Linked DNA regions of Caenorhabditis elegans. The protein of the gene in region 4 purifies or fractionates together with the protein of the main gene of each other region. This does not show direct contact. Each region holds a gene or a part of one and is shown on either strand. Other genes may lie near its edges. The genes, in order: F52E4.5, Y37F4.1, clec-80 and nhr-189.

The links.
Region 1: the proteins of nhr-189 (region 4) and F52E4.5 fractionate together in Caenorhabditis elegans (co-fractionation; one large-scale study listed by BioGRID). This does not show direct contact.
Region 2: the proteins of nhr-189 (region 4) and Y37F4.1 fractionate together in Caenorhabditis elegans (co-fractionation; one large-scale study listed by BioGRID). This does not show direct contact.
Region 3: the proteins of nhr-189 (region 4) and clec-80 fractionate together in Caenorhabditis elegans (co-fractionation; one large-scale study listed by BioGRID). This does not show direct contact.

The regions. Positions count from the first base shown.
Region 1 is NC_003284.9:3,085,286-3,089,060, forward strand, and holds F52E4.5 (Fucose-specific lectin), read right to left. Parts: upstream 2,061-3,775; 5' UTR 2,047-2,060; coding exon 1,944-2,046; intron 1,892-1,943; coding exon 1,791-1,891; intron 1,743-1,790; coding exon 1,590-1,742; intron 1,378-1,589; coding exon 1,183-1,377; intron 1,135-1,182; coding exon 697-1,134; 3' UTR 543-696; downstream 1-542. Other genes in the region: twk-16 (Potassium channel domain-containing protein), read left to right, coding at 1-51.
Region 2 is NC_003279.8:10,856,438-10,861,324, reverse strand, and holds Y37F4.1 (BAR domain-containing protein), read right to left. Parts: upstream 3,239-4,887; 5' UTR 2,680-3,238; intron 2,517-2,679; 5' UTR 2,334-2,516; intron 1,814-2,333; 5' UTR 1,778-1,813; coding exon 1,706-1,777; intron 1,645-1,705; coding exon 1,366-1,644; intron 1,079-1,365; coding exon 940-1,078; intron 893-939; coding exon 706-892; intron 665-705; coding exon 556-664; 3' UTR 527-555; downstream 1-526. Other genes in the region: Y37F4.5 (START domain-containing protein), read left to right, coding at 1-66; Y37F4.2 (Sec-independent protein translocase protein TatA), read right to left, coding at 3,705-3,805.
Region 3 is NC_003282.8:2,823,556-2,828,578, reverse strand, and holds clec-80 (C-type lectin domain-containing protein), read right to left. Parts: upstream 3,216-5,023; 5' UTR 3,204-3,215; coding exon 3,103-3,203; intron 3,054-3,102; coding exon 2,932-3,053; intron 2,263-2,931; coding exon 2,008-2,262; intron 1,950-2,007; coding exon 1,870-1,949; intron 1,139-1,869; coding exon 945-1,138; intron 897-944; coding exon 819-896; intron 762-818; coding exon 563-761; 3' UTR 510-562; downstream 1-509.
Region 4 is NC_003283.11:3,857,930-3,862,028, forward strand, and holds nhr-189 (Nuclear Hormone Receptor family), read right to left. Parts: upstream 2,315-4,099; 5' UTR 2,275-2,314; coding exon 2,170-2,274; intron 2,107-2,169; coding exon 2,010-2,106; intron 1,964-2,009; coding exon 1,599-1,963; intron 1,140-1,598; coding exon 1,018-1,139; intron 973-1,017; coding exon 848-972; intron 786-847; coding exon 532-785; 3' UTR 506-531; downstream 1-505. Other genes in the region: nhr-187 (Nuclear Hormone Receptor family), read right to left, coding at 3,160-3,401, 3,458-3,582, 3,638-3,765, 3,983-4,093.

The DNA.
Region 1 (3,775 bases), on a different chromosome or scaffold from region 4:
TCTCCGATCAGGCATTCTTTAACTGGGGAGGGCCACAGAAGAGATTCGTAGTCCTGCGAAGAGTTTTACAAATTGCCGCAGATTTTGTATTTTGTTTAAATAAATAATGTATACATATTATTACTGCATTTTTACAAATTTTGATTTTCAGACCAATGTGAAAAAACTAGTTGAACATATATTCCGTTGATACACAATTTTGCAAATAGAACAGAAAAAGTTTTATTTCAGAAATTTCGAGTTCCAATTATGAATTTATAATTTTTTTTTGAGGGCATATTTTGAACTACTGCCTAACTGCTGTGGTAATTTTAGCAATTATCAAAGTTGCTGACTGCCGAAAACGCCAATTGTCCAAATGTTTGTAATTCTATAAACTCGTGGAGTTTAGAGCTTCGGATATTTGAATATTTGGGGCAATTCAAGTTTGAATTCTTTCTCAAACTAATAAATGGAATAAAGTTTACTGCGCATGATACAGTATTAAATATCGATATTTTAGGTAAAAGCCGACAAAACTACAATTCCAAATAAATATTAGAATAACTGTACTGAATATTTATTCAATTGTCAAACATAAAACTTACTCCCAATCCAATTATTTCAATTTTATTACTGGCAGAAATTATTTCAGAGATTCCCATAAATCACAGTAGGTTAAAATATAATTTTAAATACATTAAAACATTAAACAATTTAGATCGAATCAAGTTGAACTTTTGATACTGCAGCTTTGTTAACAGTGTAAAGAGTTGAACCGTCAAAAATATGCTCTCCCTCTTCGACAGTTTGAGGAAGTTGGACCCACTCCAAAGTAGACTTATCGTCAAAAATGTTTCCTTTGAGAGCCCAAACGGCTCCGTAGAAAGCGCTTCCCGTCATTCCTTTTTGAACACGGCCACCAGCGACAATGAAAGAATTGGTCTTCTTGTCAACAAATGAGCAGTTTGGACCAACGAAACCGTATTGGGGAAGAGAACTGTACTCTCCTTCAATATCAACATGACGAGCTGTTTTTGATTTCAAGTCAAAAACGAAGAAACGAGTTTTCTCCCAATTGAATCCACATCCATGAACAGCGTAGCTAATGAGCACTTTGTCATTGACAGTCTCAGCAATTACTGGAGATCCTCTCTGAAAACAATTTTTAATATTATAAAATTCTTGAACAATCTTCGTTACCAAATGGTTGTCATCAGAGTGAATTTGCGAGATGTTTTCGACAGTAGAAGAAGCTCCATTGACAGTGAGAGAATAGATTTGAATGTGACAATTGTCGTCTTTGAGAAGAAGAATAGTTTCACCATTTGAAGAAGTTCCAGCAGCAGCGATAACTTCAAATCTTTGAGTCTCAGTGAGGGTTTTGGTTTCTGGGGCCTGAAAAAACATTGTGGTGTATATCTAATAAAGGATGATGGTTCGAAAAAAAGTCAATTTCCAAAGCTTGTTCATATGCTGACAGTCTATGGGTCTATACGTACACTTTAGGTTTATATGTACCATATCGAATTTTAAACTAAAAAAAAAACTTACAGAAGTAATACTTTAAATTAATTTTGAAACAAAATTCTAATCACAGAATCACTCACATTTAACAAAACCTCATTGAAAGAATTACTATCCCATCTGAACAACTTTTGGAATCCAATTGCTCCAAAATTGACAAAAGCGAGAAGATAAAGCTGATTGTCACGAACAAACAACACTTCTTCCGAGTTTTCTTCGCTTACGAGCTCCGGGAACTGAAATTGTTTAGGTCTGAAATGACCAGGAAAACAAGGCAAACTCACATCATGTCTCTCCCATTTGTTGGATTCCTTATCAAAAGTCAGAACGTAAGTTCCTGCAAAAGCCACGCGATGTCCCCAGTTGTGATTTGGTTGAGCGACGTCTAAACAAGAAAATTGTTCTAAATTTGAAAAAAAATGTATATAAATGCTCACATTTGCGCCCCACCAAAGTCAACTTTCCGTCTTGAACGAACGAATAGTGATATTCGCATAGCTCTCCGTTGTTTCCAAAACCTTCAGCAATTTTCTCAGACATGATCAACTGAAAACATACATTTTAAATCAAAAAGAATTAGTACAAACATCTGAATATAACAAAAACGGAAGAAAGTTTATAAACGCGGCAGGTGAAGTCGGAAACCAGGAAGTAAAAAGAGAAAAAGGAAGATGTTCTGGGCAAACGGCCAAAGGTTGAACTCAATTCGTTCTTCTATAGAATTGACGGTTCAAAAAGACATTTAGACATAGAAGTCCTTAGAAGATTTCTAGAAAACTGGTTGCAAAACATATTCGCAAAACATTACGAAACGACTCTTTGCCGAATAAAATGAAAAATTTATAGAACATAATTGGACATATAATATTTTATGTGAGGTTTCAATAATATATTCTCAACAACTCAAAAGAAAACACATCCAAAAATCGATAAATGCGCAAGGTGAGAGGCAAAAATGGCTTAGAGAGCGGTGTATTTCTATTGGGGAAGTCCAGTTTTATACGTGTTGTTTGCCAGGTGGCCAGTGACTCATTGTGGGAAAATTGGGAGAATAAACAATATTGCGAAATCAAATATTCTTCATGAAATTTCCATGGAAAGAATGAACACTGTCGGAAAATATTGTTATGTAATTCTCACAGTGAACAACAACACGATTGTCCAAAAAAAAACTTTATTCATAATACTGCAAAGAAGGGTGAAAGTGAATCAAAATGGAACTTGACGTATTTGGTCAATAGCAGTAGTATTTGCTGCGAACATTTACGGGGAATTTGGTATTTGCTTTTGTCTGTGTACTGTAAATACAAAGAAGTTTTGATCAAAAGTAGAAGTACCTACTTTAAAAGTGGTAAATCTGAAAATTAAACAGTTTGATGTCTTGTAGGCTACCAAAAAACATCAGTTATACAGCATAAATTATGTTATTGTACTGAAAATAAAACATTCGAGCACATTGTTAAATCATAGCTAATCTTTATTTCGGCAGTGACCAAAATGGATATCCTCTGATATTTTCAAAGCTGCGGACTTCTGAATTTTCGAAAAAAAAAATTCATTTTCAAGAATATACAGATTGCAGGTTTTATAGATTTTGAGACACAAATTTATGTCAAACAGTGTTTTTTTAAAGCTCAATCAATTTAGACTAAATACGCAATTACCATAATTGGAAACCAGGCAGTAAGGATCTGGAACGAGAATCCCAATTTCTAATTCCTCTGAAATTAAATTCAATGTTTTGTTCTAAAGACAAAACTTTGGCTTATGTTGGTTTTTCGCTATAGTGTCAAAATATTTGAATATCATAGTAAAAGTTTTCAAAATTTTTTTAAAGTTTTCATTTACTGTCGAAAAGTGACAATCGCACGTGGTGTCAGAATGTCCCATTTCGTTGTGATCTACCAAAACTGCGGGAATTTAGACGCAGACTTCTCAACTGGTCTCGCATGGTTAAGAATGAGCTGACGTCACATTTTTCGGGGAAAAAATTCCCGCATTTTTTGTAGATCAAACTGTTATGGGACAACCTGACACCACGTGCAATCGCTCAGTTTTTGCACTCATAACTTTGGAAGTCGACCAAAAAAAAAGTTCTACGATTTTTATACTTTAAATTTGATTTAATTATTTGTTGTAAAACATTTTAGGGGTTAGAACATGCAATATTGCTCTGTGTTTCCTCAAAAGCTCTTTTTTGTTATTTGGCAGATTGCTAAAACATTAAAAAAATCTAAAATTTTCTGGTTGGTTTTATTATAATCTCCGA
Region 2 (4,887 bases), on a different chromosome or scaffold from region 4:
CAGGAACCAGTCGCTTGCAAGTCAAACAAATTGGATAAGAAGAAAGATGGAAAAAAGGAGAAATAATGTCGAGAAGGTTGAAGCACTGAAGTAGACTATAGCACTTGAGAGAATAAAATGTGATTCATTTCTGTTCTGTTTTCAGCGTAAATTTATTGTTAAAGCTAGGGGTGTTGTGTGGGACGTGATGAGCCACCCCATAGCAACCTTAGCTATTCAAAAAACGTTTCCAAAATGCCATTCGAAAAAAGTGAAATAGCGGGCGAATGTTGAGGCGATGGAGAGGGATAGAATCCGGGTTGCGCGGCAATTGCGTTATTATGGGAGAGATCACATAGTTTCTACATCTTTTCACTAAAATTTAATGAAAAATATTGGGAAAACACATCTCTGCCTGAAATTGTAGAATTACCCGTCGGCAATCGCCGCGCACCTTTTGGTGGAATCAGGGGTGCCTTGTGGCTGATGTGGCTGTAAACTGATGACTAAAATCAAATATAACACATTTGAAGTTGCAAGCAATAAAAATCACATAATTCTTTATTCGGACAAGTTTCATTTGGATTTCAATGGCTTTTCTTTACTCTTTGGCAGTGCTCTATCATCAAATATTGGGATAGCTTCAGCAATGGATTTGTGGAAGAGAATTGAATCGTCACGAAACCTTAAAATTTTTTTTTTTCGGGGAGTAGTTCCAAAACTTACTTCAAAACTGCATCCGCGTGTTTCCCCTTCTGCTCATTAATCGACTTATTGATAAAGTCAATAACCTTCTGTCTGCACTCATTCCTCCATGTCTGAGCATTTCCCGCCGCGAGTTCGGCTTGCTCCGTTCGCTCCTTATTCTGCTGACTGATTGCGTCGTCGTAGGTTTCCAGCGAGAGCCAATAAACTGAAATTTTTTATTTAGATTCATATTATAGACCCTTTTATTCTTACTCTTTCGAAGCCTTGCGTACTCCCAATAGTCGACGCCAATGAATTTTGTCAACGCCGACAAGTTTTCCAGATGCCTTTGGACTTGCTTTGCTTGTATGGAATCCAGATTGAGCAAGGTTTGGATAGCCGGTTCTAAGCTCTGAAATTTGTGTCCTTATTATCAGGTGCCATTCCATAAGCCAAAAAATTGGGGAGCCTAAGCCTGATTACCTGGGCTTAAATGGTTTATTTGAAAAGCCTAAGCCTACATTTTAACATTTAAAAGCCCTTAGCCTAAATTGTTAAGCCTAAAAATCCAAGCCTAGAAAATATACCAAATTTCTTAGGTGCAAAAAAGTCGTTCCAACTTCCTCGATTTTCAACAGGATTCGCTCTAGAAACTGAATGTCGCGTCACTTTTCTGATCAATTCTGCAACTAAACTCACATCCATTTCTTTGGGGTCAACCTTCGTACCCAACTTTCTTCCTTTCTGATTTATCGCCTGATACGTCTTTAGATACTGCCCAGCGTACTGATAATTCGTATCAGCTTTCATAAGTTCCTGATTCTCAACGAACATTTGAATCAGTGCCTGATGAAGTCGATCTGCGGCTTCTTTATAAGCTTCAACTTGATTGCAAAGCTTCTTCACGTCATCAGTCATCGAAAACAAGCGATTCTTTTTCTTCAGAATCGACGAAAATACACCGTGATTTGGATGGTCCTGAAAACTCTCTTTTTTTTTCGGTTTCGGATTTCGGTTTCGGAGGCATCCAAAAACTTACAGCTAATCCATAAAATAATTTCTGAGCGATTGGCTTTTCATAGCAGCTACTCGTACTCTTCTTGTTTGCCATTAAAAATATAAAATAACTGAGATTGAGATTTCATGTCTGATAAACAAGTATGTTTGTCATCATAAAATGTGTCACGTAACAAAGCAATTTAAATTAGTAATTTTTTGTTTTATTTTTAACATTTTTTAGAAAATATTTGTGATTGAAATTTTGTGAAAAAATTTGAAATTTTTGCTTACTATTAGCTCCGTGTTTTACCAGTTAAATTGCTCCAAAGGCGGTTTTTGAAATTTTCTGTGGAAACTTTCTATTCAACAAAAAATCTAAACAGTTCTCTGGAAATTGTTCTATAGTTTTATGTATTATATTATTTAAAATTTTTATTATTTTTTTATTATATTATTTTAAAATCCGGGTTTGCAGATTTTATCATTTTTAAGATTAATATAAACCTACTGATTGACAAATTCCAAAATCTTAAATTTGTTTAACTGTACGCTTTTTAACATTTTCATACTTCTTGAACAATTTCAAATCATTTTTCTAGACAAATTTGCATGAGGCTTTCCCTATATATGTATTTTGAAAACTAAAATATAATATAAAGCGTTTATACCTTTTAACTACAGTATCCAAAAACATGATAAATATAGAAATTTGGATAACTTTTTGCTTTATTATGAAGCAATTTCATTCAGAGTCCAAATTTTAATTCTCCCACAATATTCAATCAGTGGCCGCTTACACATTAGCAGTGAAATGTTAGTCAGCAACTACATATCCTGTGGTCTGAGATAATCTGTACATGGAAAAATTAATCTAATTGTATGTAAGTGTCAAATCTTTCCCTCTTTGAATATGATATTTGATCCTTATGATTCAAACCAAAACGTTTCCCTTCTTTTCCTATTCATATGATTCACGCCAACCCCAATATCATTATAATTCGATTAAAAACAGACCTATATAAGTTCCTTCTTTTATATTATATTATATAATACCAATGCTTCCTTTCTAGATGTAGACCGCTATCTTCCCCTTTTCTTCTCTTTAATTGTAATTCAGTATTATATTCTTCTAAATAAATTAATCTCAAGAATTCATTTCTTGATAGTAAGTAAATAAAATAAATAATTCAAGCAGAAACAGACGACTATAGCATGAAGCACCCCCGGAAACCAGCAGAGGATGCAGAAACAAAGGTTGAGCCAAACTGACAGAGAGCATCTTTCCTCTTTCACGTAGACGGCGATTGGCGGAAAAATTAAAATGAGCAGAATGTAACAACACGGGCCGGTTTCTTTCATTTCAGCAAGATAGTGTTGCACAAAATATGAAAAATTAAGTTGTTTGGACAACCTTATATACTGGAGGAGTCTGTTAACGGTCATAAACCGGTGCCACAGCTTATGGTTAAACATCATGCAAAAACACTTTGATTGTGTGCTAAAGCATTTATTGAGTCGTTGCTGTGCCAGACGACGAGAGTCTTACTTTCGTCCGGCGCCAGCAGGCAAGGTCTTTCTCGACTGAGGATGTTATTCTCTAGTCGGCTTATATACTCGTGAGGGCGTGACGCTCCCTGCTCAGAGGCCGCGTGGGCGTTAGAGTCATGCGCTTTATGCACGTCTCCAAAGTCCACTCAGTGCAACATGAGAAGTGATCATAGAACACTTCCACAAGTCTATAAACTTTCAGCATCCGTGAAGATAAACTTTTCTTGATTTCAGATATTTTTGTTTAATAATTTGAACTGTAGATTTAAGAAAAAGTAAAATAAGTGCAAGATTGCTTTCTAAAGGGATCTCGAACTTAACACAATTTGGACTTCTTGCTGAAGTTATGAATTGATGGGTTTACCCTGCAACTGAGCCAACGCAACATTTTCAGTGCAAAAAACACATTTTTGGTTTTTTTTATTTCAAAAAAATATTTATAACTATCAACAATGTGACTAAAATAAACTTATAAATTATTTTTTCAGCAACTAGTAGTCTGATTCAGAACTATCGTCTTTTTCATCCGAAACTTCGTCCGGTTCCGTTGGATTGCCCATTAGCTCAGCTATTTTTCGAATTTGCTCTATTTCTGGAAAAACTTTATTGAATTATTGGGACTAAACTTTTAAAATTAAAAATCAAAAATCAAAAAACTTTTTTTAAATCGATTTTTCTACATACCATTTCTTGAATTGAGTATCCTTTTTCCTACATAGCAAAGCTTTTTAAAAGTTCAAATTTGTTTGTAAACCTTCAATTAAAAAAAAAATTTTTAAGACTAGCGCACAAAGTGCGCTATCCCTTCGGGAGTGGGGATAGGGTTATTTCGCTCTAAAGTATCAACAAGGTAGCTGGCGCAGGTTCTCGGCTTTGCCTCAAACCTGTGTTGGGGTTAAGTGTGTTCACCTTGAAATTCAAAATATATTCCAAAGATTTGTTTCTAATTTAATATTTTGAAAAATCATTTAGCGGCTCCGGCGCTTTAGTTTTCAGTTCCTCTAAGATTAAAGAAATATTCTAAGGAGTTGTTTCACATTGAAATATTCTTAAAAATTATTTGGGCGCTAAGTTGAATCTTCTCTAAGATTAGAAAAATATTCTAAGGAGTTGTTCTAAATTCAAAAATTCCTAAGAGTTATCAGCGCCTTCGGCGCTGAATTTTTCAAAGTTTCTGAAATAAAGAAACATACTAAGGAGTTGTTTCTAATTTAAAACTTTGAAGACTTATTCAGCGCCTTCGTCGCTGATTTGAACTATTTCTAAGATTGATGGAATATGCTAAGGAGTTGTTTCTAATTTAAAAATTTTGAATAATTATTTAGCGCCCTGGGCGCTGAATTTTCAGTTTCTCTAAGATGAAAGAAATATGCTGAAAAGATTTTTCAATTTTAAAAAGAAAATGTAAAAACATAAAAGATATTTCGAAAACTTTGATGAGGAGATGAAATGTTAGTTTTTTTTCATAACTTTTTCATTTTTAAAGCTGGAAAAAAATCTTACATATTTGAATTCAGCGTCAAATTCTGAGTCTATTAAAAAAAACAGAATTAAAATTAAACTTAAACAAACCAATTAACAAACGCTCAAAGTTGAAAAATCAAAAATCAAAAAAGGCATTATTTTTCTATTCGGTCGATTATCTCTGTGATGTATGACTCGATTTTCAAAATT
Region 3 (5,023 bases), on a different chromosome or scaffold from region 4:
TCTGGCTTCACCAATTATTTTACTCTCTGGCTTCACCAATTATTTTACTTTACTCATTATTTTACAACTTTCGGGTTTTTTGAAATGAATATCGTAGCTACAGAAACGGTTGTACACTCATCTGAAAATACAAAAAATTTGCAATTTTTATTGCTAGGACACTTTTTGTCTGCACAAATATGAGCAACCAAAAATAATTTCAAAATTTTTAATGATTAGTTGCATATTGAAAAAAACAGGAATATTTCAAATTTCAAGTTATTTCTGTGTATTAGAACAAAATTGCAATTGGTATCTAAAATGGCAAGTTTTCTGGTAATGACATATTTTTACGAAGATTTTTTTTTTTTAAACTTCAAATTGATTTTTTTACCAAAAAATGTGGCCTTTTTTATTAATTTGTTTTATCGGGAATATTTCAAATTTCAAGTTATTTCTGTGTATTAGAACACAACTGTGATTGATATCTTTTGATATATTAATATACGCAATTTGGCACATGTTCAATTGGACAGAAGGATCTTTATTTTCTCGGTACACCAAGTAAATTTGGAAAAAATAGTTAAGCTGTAGGTAACAGCTCCAGGAGCTTGCTCACAACAGCATCGGCGTCCGAATCCGACAACGCTGGAGCAGCAATCACATTTGTGTCAATTGAGAGCCCAGGAATTGAAGTGGCTCCACCAACCAGTACTCCGACTACTGTACCAAAGGAGGAGTAGGTGGATTTGATTGTGGTACCACCGTATTCGGCTTCTGGGCTGGAAAATGAGAGCTTATAAGTATTTGGTTGTCAGTCCAATTTCACGAAAACTCACGCAGCTGATATAAATATCATGCATGTTTGATCTGTGACTGGTGGGGTCCAAGAAGCGGCTGCTAGAGATCCGTCGACACTGAATTTCAAACGATTGTTACTTTTAAGGACAATAATCCCCACTAACTCTTTCAGATCTAAATCGATATCATCGTCAGTGCCGTCAATTGGGAACGGAATTCCTCTTAAATCAAAAAAATCATCAGTAGGGTAGTTTTGATGATCATTAAGCCCAGCAGAGTACCCGTAATTGTCAATGTAGCCGGTTAGCATTGTCTTGTCATTCAGTTTGCTAGCGACAAGATGGGCAAAGTTGAAGTACTGAAAAGTTAGTAAATCTCTGATGTATTGTTTTACTTTAGTAACTACATAGTTGAACCCATTAGATTTTTAGCTTGGTGCATCGACCTTTCGACTTTGACAGCTAATATCGCATTTTACTATTAAATGATAGAATAATAACTCATAAATATTTTATCAGTTGATGATACTTTTTCAATAAATTTGGAGGCATCAGACTTTGAGCCTGAGCACACTAGACTTCTAACATTCTGCATCGACCGCTCAACTTCTGTGGCTCATGTTTTGTGTAATTTTAATGCTAGCGAAAAATGTCAAATTCTAAAAATAAAAATAACAACAAATGATCAATAATTTGTTGGGTTGGTAACAATTATTTGATACATTTCACAAGAATCGAGATAAAAAAGGCCCGAAATTGAAAACACTAGATTTCACACCGGTGCCTATCGTTGTTTATTTTTGAGCTATAGCAAAGTTTCTACTATTAGGACATAGCAAAACGAATAGCTATGAATGTTAGTTAAAAGTTATTGAAGAGCCTAGTTACTAGTTTCTACACATGGTGCATCAACCTATCAACTTTGACAGCTCATATCATATCTTATTTTTAAGCTACAAAATATTTTGATCATCAAAATATAGAAAAATCGACAACAAATACTTTTGTTGGTTGATATTTGTTCCCTATTTTAAATACGCTTAAGATATGAACCACCAATGTTTAAATACAACGCTAAAAGATTTCGTACCGCTTTATAAGAATTAATTGCATTTTGATCAATTCCGAGAGACTGTGTGTCATACATAATTAGACATGTTACAGAAGATACTGTAAGTAGGTAATATTTCAAATATTTTCTGACAGTGTTTCCAAGTATTAAACCCACAAGGTTTCGCAGTGGTAGGCACACTAGCTGGGTCATAACTGCAAACGAAATAATTCTTATCAGTACTACCAAATGTGCCCCATTTGGAGTTCGTACTGCTCTGTGCCACATAGTTTTGGCCTAGTTGAGTTCCGAAATTTGACCAGCCGAAGGAACTTTTGTCATCCCATGTCCATGGGCTCCCGGTGGAATTTCTGCTCAAACCAATCCAGAATTGCCCACCGTTGCTGGAGTTGAACACGGAATGGGCGAGGACTGGAAATTTTGGAGTTTAACGTTTTTTTTTTGAATTTTAAGGAAACTTGTTCGAAAATTTTGAATATTTTTTTTTCGCGTAGCTTTCCAACTAAAAAAACCAAAAAATAGAGGCATTTTTGGTTTTTTTTTTAAATTGTTTTTTTAATGTTGAAGCGATTCGAAAAAACCAATAAACTTTTTCATGCTTAAACAAGGTAAATTTCAAATTTGTCTGAATTCTGGCGCAAGATTCAAAATTTTTCATAGAATTTTGTGAACACTTGACGCGAATTTGGAAAGTTTTTAAAACTTTTTAGAATTGTAAAATTTCGAAAACTTCTGGAAAATAAAAACTGTGGTACAAAGAAGGGCTTCTATGATCCCACGCCGCATGTTGTCGAATGTATAGTGCGGCGCGGAACCCCGAACATGTCGGCCGCTCCAAATAACTACCTTTCGTACATCATTGCACCCGCATTTCACGTCCTACTCAGCTGGGAGTCCTAGTTCAAAGTTTAAAGTTTAAAAAAATTGAAATTAAATTTTGGCGTGAAATTCAAAATTACAAAATTTGTACACAAAACTAATTTTTTTTTTTGTTGAAGTCGTGCATCGGGCCAAAATGAAGACACATAGGCAATAGGCAGGTAGGTAGGCAGGCAGGCCCCTAAACCCTCTCTACCCTACCTGACAAAACATTAGCCGTCGACTTATCCAATACCGTAGCCAGAGTGTACCCCGGGTCCGCCTGGTGGCAAAAGCCACGAGCATCCGAGTAGGTGAGCTGTTGAGTCACCAGTTTGTAGCATCTGATTATTGATTTTTTTTTTCTGTTGAAAATTTTGAAATTTAGATTACCTTCCGTTAATTAAATTGTCCGAATCATCACTGCACTTTTGTGCCTGACAATGAGAAATAGCGAAAAATGAGGAAAAGGTAAGTAAAATGAGATTTTTCATGACAAAATAAAACTGAAAAATTTTTCAGAAAAAGTAATAATATTGGGTGATAAGTAACAGGAAGCATTGATAAGAAAATTTGAAATTTGGAAAATATGGGTGTTGGCCGTAGACTTTAAGTGCTCGACGATGTCAGTGTCTCGGAAGTCCAATAAGTAGATGCCTCTGTAGTACGCGGTGCATCTGTAGACGACGCCAAGTTAGTGGTTGGCATCAGTGGATAGTAGGAGCACACGAATTTCAGTTCTGTTTCACTGTTGTAGGCGGTCCATTTGGCATTCGTCACACTTTCGGCCACGTAGTCTTGAGAATTTTGATAATTGAAATTGGTCCAGCCTAGGGGAGTTCCGTCATCCCATTTGTATGTGGAACTTGAGCGGCTTAGACCAATCCAGAAGCTTCCCTCGTTTGAGCCAAATGCGGTGACGGCGTACGCTGAAAATTGGATTTGTAGTCTACCTATGGCCTTACCTACGAGCCTACCTACCGGTTTACTTGATGCCTATCTCATGCCTACATTCTGCCTACCTACTTTATATCTGCATACCTACGTACCTACTTCATGACTCAGGTCTACCTATGCGTCAGCTCTACACCAATTTCACATACCTACTTTATGCCTACCTACCATATGCTTGTCTGTCTTTGTACCTACTTTATGCCTACATCATGCCTGCTCATGTATATTATGCCTACCTTATGTATGCAAACCTACGTGCCTATTAGTGTACTTTCGTGACAACATCAGGATACCTCCTAACCAACAGCACTTGACTACATCACGCCTATTTATCTCAGGCCTGCATCCCCCCTATGTACCTATTTTGTGCCTAGATCATGCCTGGATACTTTATGCCTACCTCATGTAAGCAAAACTACGTGTCTATTTTTAGCCTAATGGTGTATTTTCAAACCTACATCATGCCTAAATACCTACAAACCCACCGCACCCGATTACATCACATCTACCTACCTCATGCCTGCATACCTTTGTACCCACCTCACGCGCCTACCTTGACACCTACTTCATGCCTACCTATAACCACTCATTAACTCTCAAAAACCTTACATGCCAAAAAGCTCGCCGTTATTTGATCCGAAACAGTTGCCAAATATGATACCACGGAATTCTGGTAACGACACCAGGACCGGGCGTCCTGGTAGGAAAGTTGTTGGTTGACAAGTTTATAGCATCTGAAAATACACGAAACATACGGTGTGCCATCCAAGTAGGCACGGCCTGCCTGCCTACCTACGCGCCTACTCACAATTTTTGTGCCTACTACTCTCAAAGTACACTTGAAAAAACACAATAGTTATCAGATTTTCAACTTTTTGGAATTAAAAAAAATATTTTCGTATCTCGAGCTTGAAACATTTATTTTAAGTTAATTTTTGCATTGCATATATTTAAACAATTTATTTCTCAATTATAGAACTTAACAGCTTATTTTACAATTTTCCGTTAAAATACTAACCTCCCGTTGATCAGTCTATCTGAACTATCCCAACACTGTTGGGCAGCAGCTAAAGAAGTAAAAAATAGTAAAATTAGTAGAAATTGTTTCATTTTCAAAATTGCTGGAAGGGATGGTAATATTACGAGAAAAGAAAAAAAGAAAGAGGAATTGATAAGAAGCTCGAAAAAGCGGGTTAAAAACCACGATAGAGTTTAGTTAGGGCAGTCAGAGGAAAATTCCTCATCGCACTAGCTACGTGCAAATTGAGAGCCAAACAGTACTTTGAAATGTAATGGAACTTATGGTTTTGTAAAAATCAACTGATGGCCGAACTATGCTCTTTTAGCGGCCACGTATCAA
Region 4 (4,099 bases):
CATTTTCTGGGTCTCTCATTTATAATTTAGGAAATGAGGAGAAAAGCAGCTGCACAATAATGTTCAAGGAATATGACGTAAGTGCAAAAGATCAAATTATGAAAGCTGGGAGCTTGATATTAAAAGCTGACCGAGGTTTTAATATCAAGCACTTTTGGCAGTTTGGTTTAAAATATTTTTCCTTTTGGAAAATGACCAAAAAATATGCGGAAAATATTTTGTGAAAGGCTAGCCACAGTTTTACCATGCATATAAAAAAGGTTGAATATTTTCAAGGTTTGTTAAAATTATATAATTTTTTTTAAATCTTCTGATACCCATTTGTTCGATAGAGCAGATTTGCAGTATTGCTGTTGTGATGATCAATGCCGGCAATTGATGATTTATGAAATTATCGGCAATTTGGCATTTGGCAAAATTTTAGATTGCTTCAATTTTCAGCAGTTTTCAAACTTAATTATATATTTTTTAATTAAAAAAAAACTATAAAAAACGGATTTTTACAAAAATTTTACAACTTAAGAAACACCTTTATACATTAATACAAATATCAATCAACAATTTTTTCAATTTAACTTGTGGCATGTACATCTGGCAAAGTGTTGTGAGACTGTTAGCGTCTTCCGATGTCTTATTGATAACATGTGATAGTGACAGAAGGTCCGCAAATCTAGAAGGACCCGATTGTTGGTAGGTTAAAAGGCAATATTGAAGAAGGGCAGAACTATATGACTTCTGGCGGGTTGCTAGGAGTCTTCGAGTTCTTTCAGATAACGGGTGGATGGCTGAAAATTGCTTTTTTCAAAAATTAACTTATGAATTGGGTTAAATTGAAAAATTAAATTACCTGGATTACAAAACAGCAAAAAATTTAGCAAAGCGTGCTCCTGCTCGGTAACTTTGAGCTCTTCAACGCGAACCACTAAACTGCTCCGTATGCTGTTTAGAAAATCAATAGAGAACATTGCCAACCTGGGAAAAAAATATAGTTTTTTATTCCAGAAAATTGCAACTTACAGCAAATCCGAGTAAACTTCATTACCATCAGGCGTTATCACTCTATCAACTTTGGCATTCAGAGACCTCATCGCACTATCAAGTTGCATAGATTTTGAAGAGAAATTTCGAAGTAGAACAATCTATAAATTGCGTTCCGTTTTATTGAGATGACTGTCGATGTAATTTTGAAATTTCCGGCAAATCGGCAAACCAGTAGATTGCCGGAATTGAAAATTTCAGGCAAATCGGCAAATTGCCGGGATTAAAAATTTCCGGTAAATCGGTAAAACGGCAATAAGCCAAGTTTTCGAATGTGCCGAAAAAACGGCCATTGGCGAACATTTTTGGCAAACTGTGGTTTTGTACCTTTTTTTTGGAAGGTTCAGAATTTCAAATTCAATCGGCAAAGTTTTACGCATTCTATGAATGTTCCTACATCTATTTTGAAAAGCAAGCAAATTCTATGAAAATATCAAAAGAAAACGGAAAAGCAATTTCAAAAAGGCACAATTTTGACCCCTGGTGCATTTACCGTACCGCTCACCCCTGGTGCATTTACCGTACTCCTACAGTAAGAAACCTAATCGAGAAAGACCAACCTTATCATCATTCTCAATAGAATTCATAAAATCCAAACTCAAAAACATTTCAACGGCAATATAAATAGCTTGAAAACTCCATTCCTCTACTGATATCACTTGTTTTCCAGTTTTTCGCTTCATCCTTGATCGCTTAGTTCTTTGAACCATATCTTCCAGTGTTGGATCCTCAGAAGTGTAGAAATTGCACAATTTGAAGCGTTTTGTGGAGTTTAAAAACATAACATTTTTAATTAGAGAATCCGATTTAAAATCGGGATGGATCAAGTCAGGAAGTTGTATCTTCTCGAGTTGACCTAGCGTCATCCCAAGTTGCAAGCATTTTTCGAAGCGGCACGCTTTGCATTGAAGAATTGGCTGACCGGCTGTAAATAAATTTATTGAAAACTGTGTGCAAATAAAAATAGCTACAATTTTCAAGGCACATGTTCCATTTCTTGCAGTGGTAGGTTAACTGCTCAATCACAACGCGGCGGAAGAACATTTTGCACGCATTGCACGAGAGAACCTGAAATTTATATGTTGTTTAAAAAGCTTTTAGACAAAACAAATATAGTAAAAACATATTTACCCCATAGTTATGACAGGATGCATCTCTCCCACAAATTGTGCATTTCGGAGCATTACTGGTACTCAATTCCATAGCCAAGCTTGGCAACTCATCAATATCTTCCATTTTGAATAAGGAAATCAGTGAGCAAAATGAAAAAAAGAATAAAGCAGGATTTGCTCTTTTTAACAGGCTTTGACTTCCTCGGTCTCTTTTTATATAATTAAAGAGTCGTGGGGAGACAGCTGAACTAGAATGTTCTAAGAACATGTTTATAGATAGGACATAAGATCAAACAACGAAAAAAGTGATCGTACATAGATTTATAGATTTCTGAAAATAATAATTTTTAGTCACGGCTATTTTGAGGGTGTCAATAAGCTCCGGCTCAAAATACACACATTTTTCCGTAACATTTTGGATTGACAAATGTTTGAAAATTTTTGTAAGTGATATTTAATTTAAAAGAAGTGTTATATATGTAACACTTTGGAATTTCTTTAATTTTTAAATTAATTTTAAATTTTTTTTTCAAAAGTTGCAAATTGGTGGCAAATTAATTTGAGAGAAGCTGTTTTTGCACATAAAAAATGAAATTTTTGAGTGCAGGTGAACATTTTGGAAACTTATTTGGAAAATTTCATTGGAAAATTAAAAAAATAATGAGAAAGAACCGAATCTTTTATTTTTGGATCTAGTTTGGTAAAAATTTCACTTTTTTTCCAAAAAATACAACGGTGGAATAGGTTTATGTGCATCTAGAATAATGAAAAAAAATTCAGATCTATTTTTCGGATCATTAGGCCAGTTTTTGCTAGAATATTTTTGAATAACCATCTGTTAAATACCAATTTTTTCAACGTTCAAAAAAAATTTTATTAATTTTTTAGAAATTATGTTTGAAGCTCAGAAACTCACATTTAATAATGATTTTTATGAGAAAGAGTGGAAAAAATTACAAGCAATATTTTGAGATCAGAAAAAACATTAAAGTTCAACGGTAAAAAAAATTTAAATTATAACAGAAACCAGATTTTTGTACTTGACATGAAAATGAAATTGAAAAATCCAGTAGAGATATTGTACGTCTTCATAATACTTGTTGGTAACTGTGCACAGTGAGAGAAGTTCCGTGAAACGAGACGATCCATTATGCTGATAGGAGAGCTTACAATATTGCATGAGCGCGGAGCCATAGGCTTTTTGTTGCTCTGTGAGCACGGCTACTGCGCTTTCGGAGAGGTCGTCGAGAGCTGGAAATTTTTTGAAATTATCAACAAAAAAAACGGATTTTTGAACTAAATATTACCAGGATTACAAAAGAACAATACTGTAATCAAAATAAACTCCTCATTAGTGATGTTCAGCTCGATAAGCCTGTTAACTAGCAGGCTTCTGATACGGTTTGTGTAGTGGAGTGAGAAGTCGGACCATCTGAAGAATGATATTTTAATTTTTTTAATTTTAAAATTAATAAGTGAAAACTCACTGGGACAAAAATTCCACGAAAAAATCTTTTCCATCGGGCTTTATCATTTTATCGTTTTTGGCTCGCATAGTTCGAATTGCACTGAACAACAGGGTAGCCTTGGCAGAATAGTTGGCGAGGAGAAGAGACTGAAAAAATAGTAAGTTGAAAAGTCTCTACAGCTTTTTTTTTTGAAAAGTGCTCCCAAAGTAAACCTCTAATCGTGTAATCCTACAGTAATACTTCTGCAGTTCTAAAATATTAATATTCCGTACAATAATTTCAAAGAAATGCCCCAATGCTCTCGAGTTAGTCCACAGTATCCCTTCAGTACTCATACCGTAATTCCAAAATATCAAAAATCACCTTATCTCTAGTGCTCAGCTTCTTCATAAAACCGAGTCCAAGCAAAAACTTCACAGCAGTATATGCTCCAAAGAAGCACCAATCCGAACTTGTCATCTCGTGGCTGGGATCCTGAAA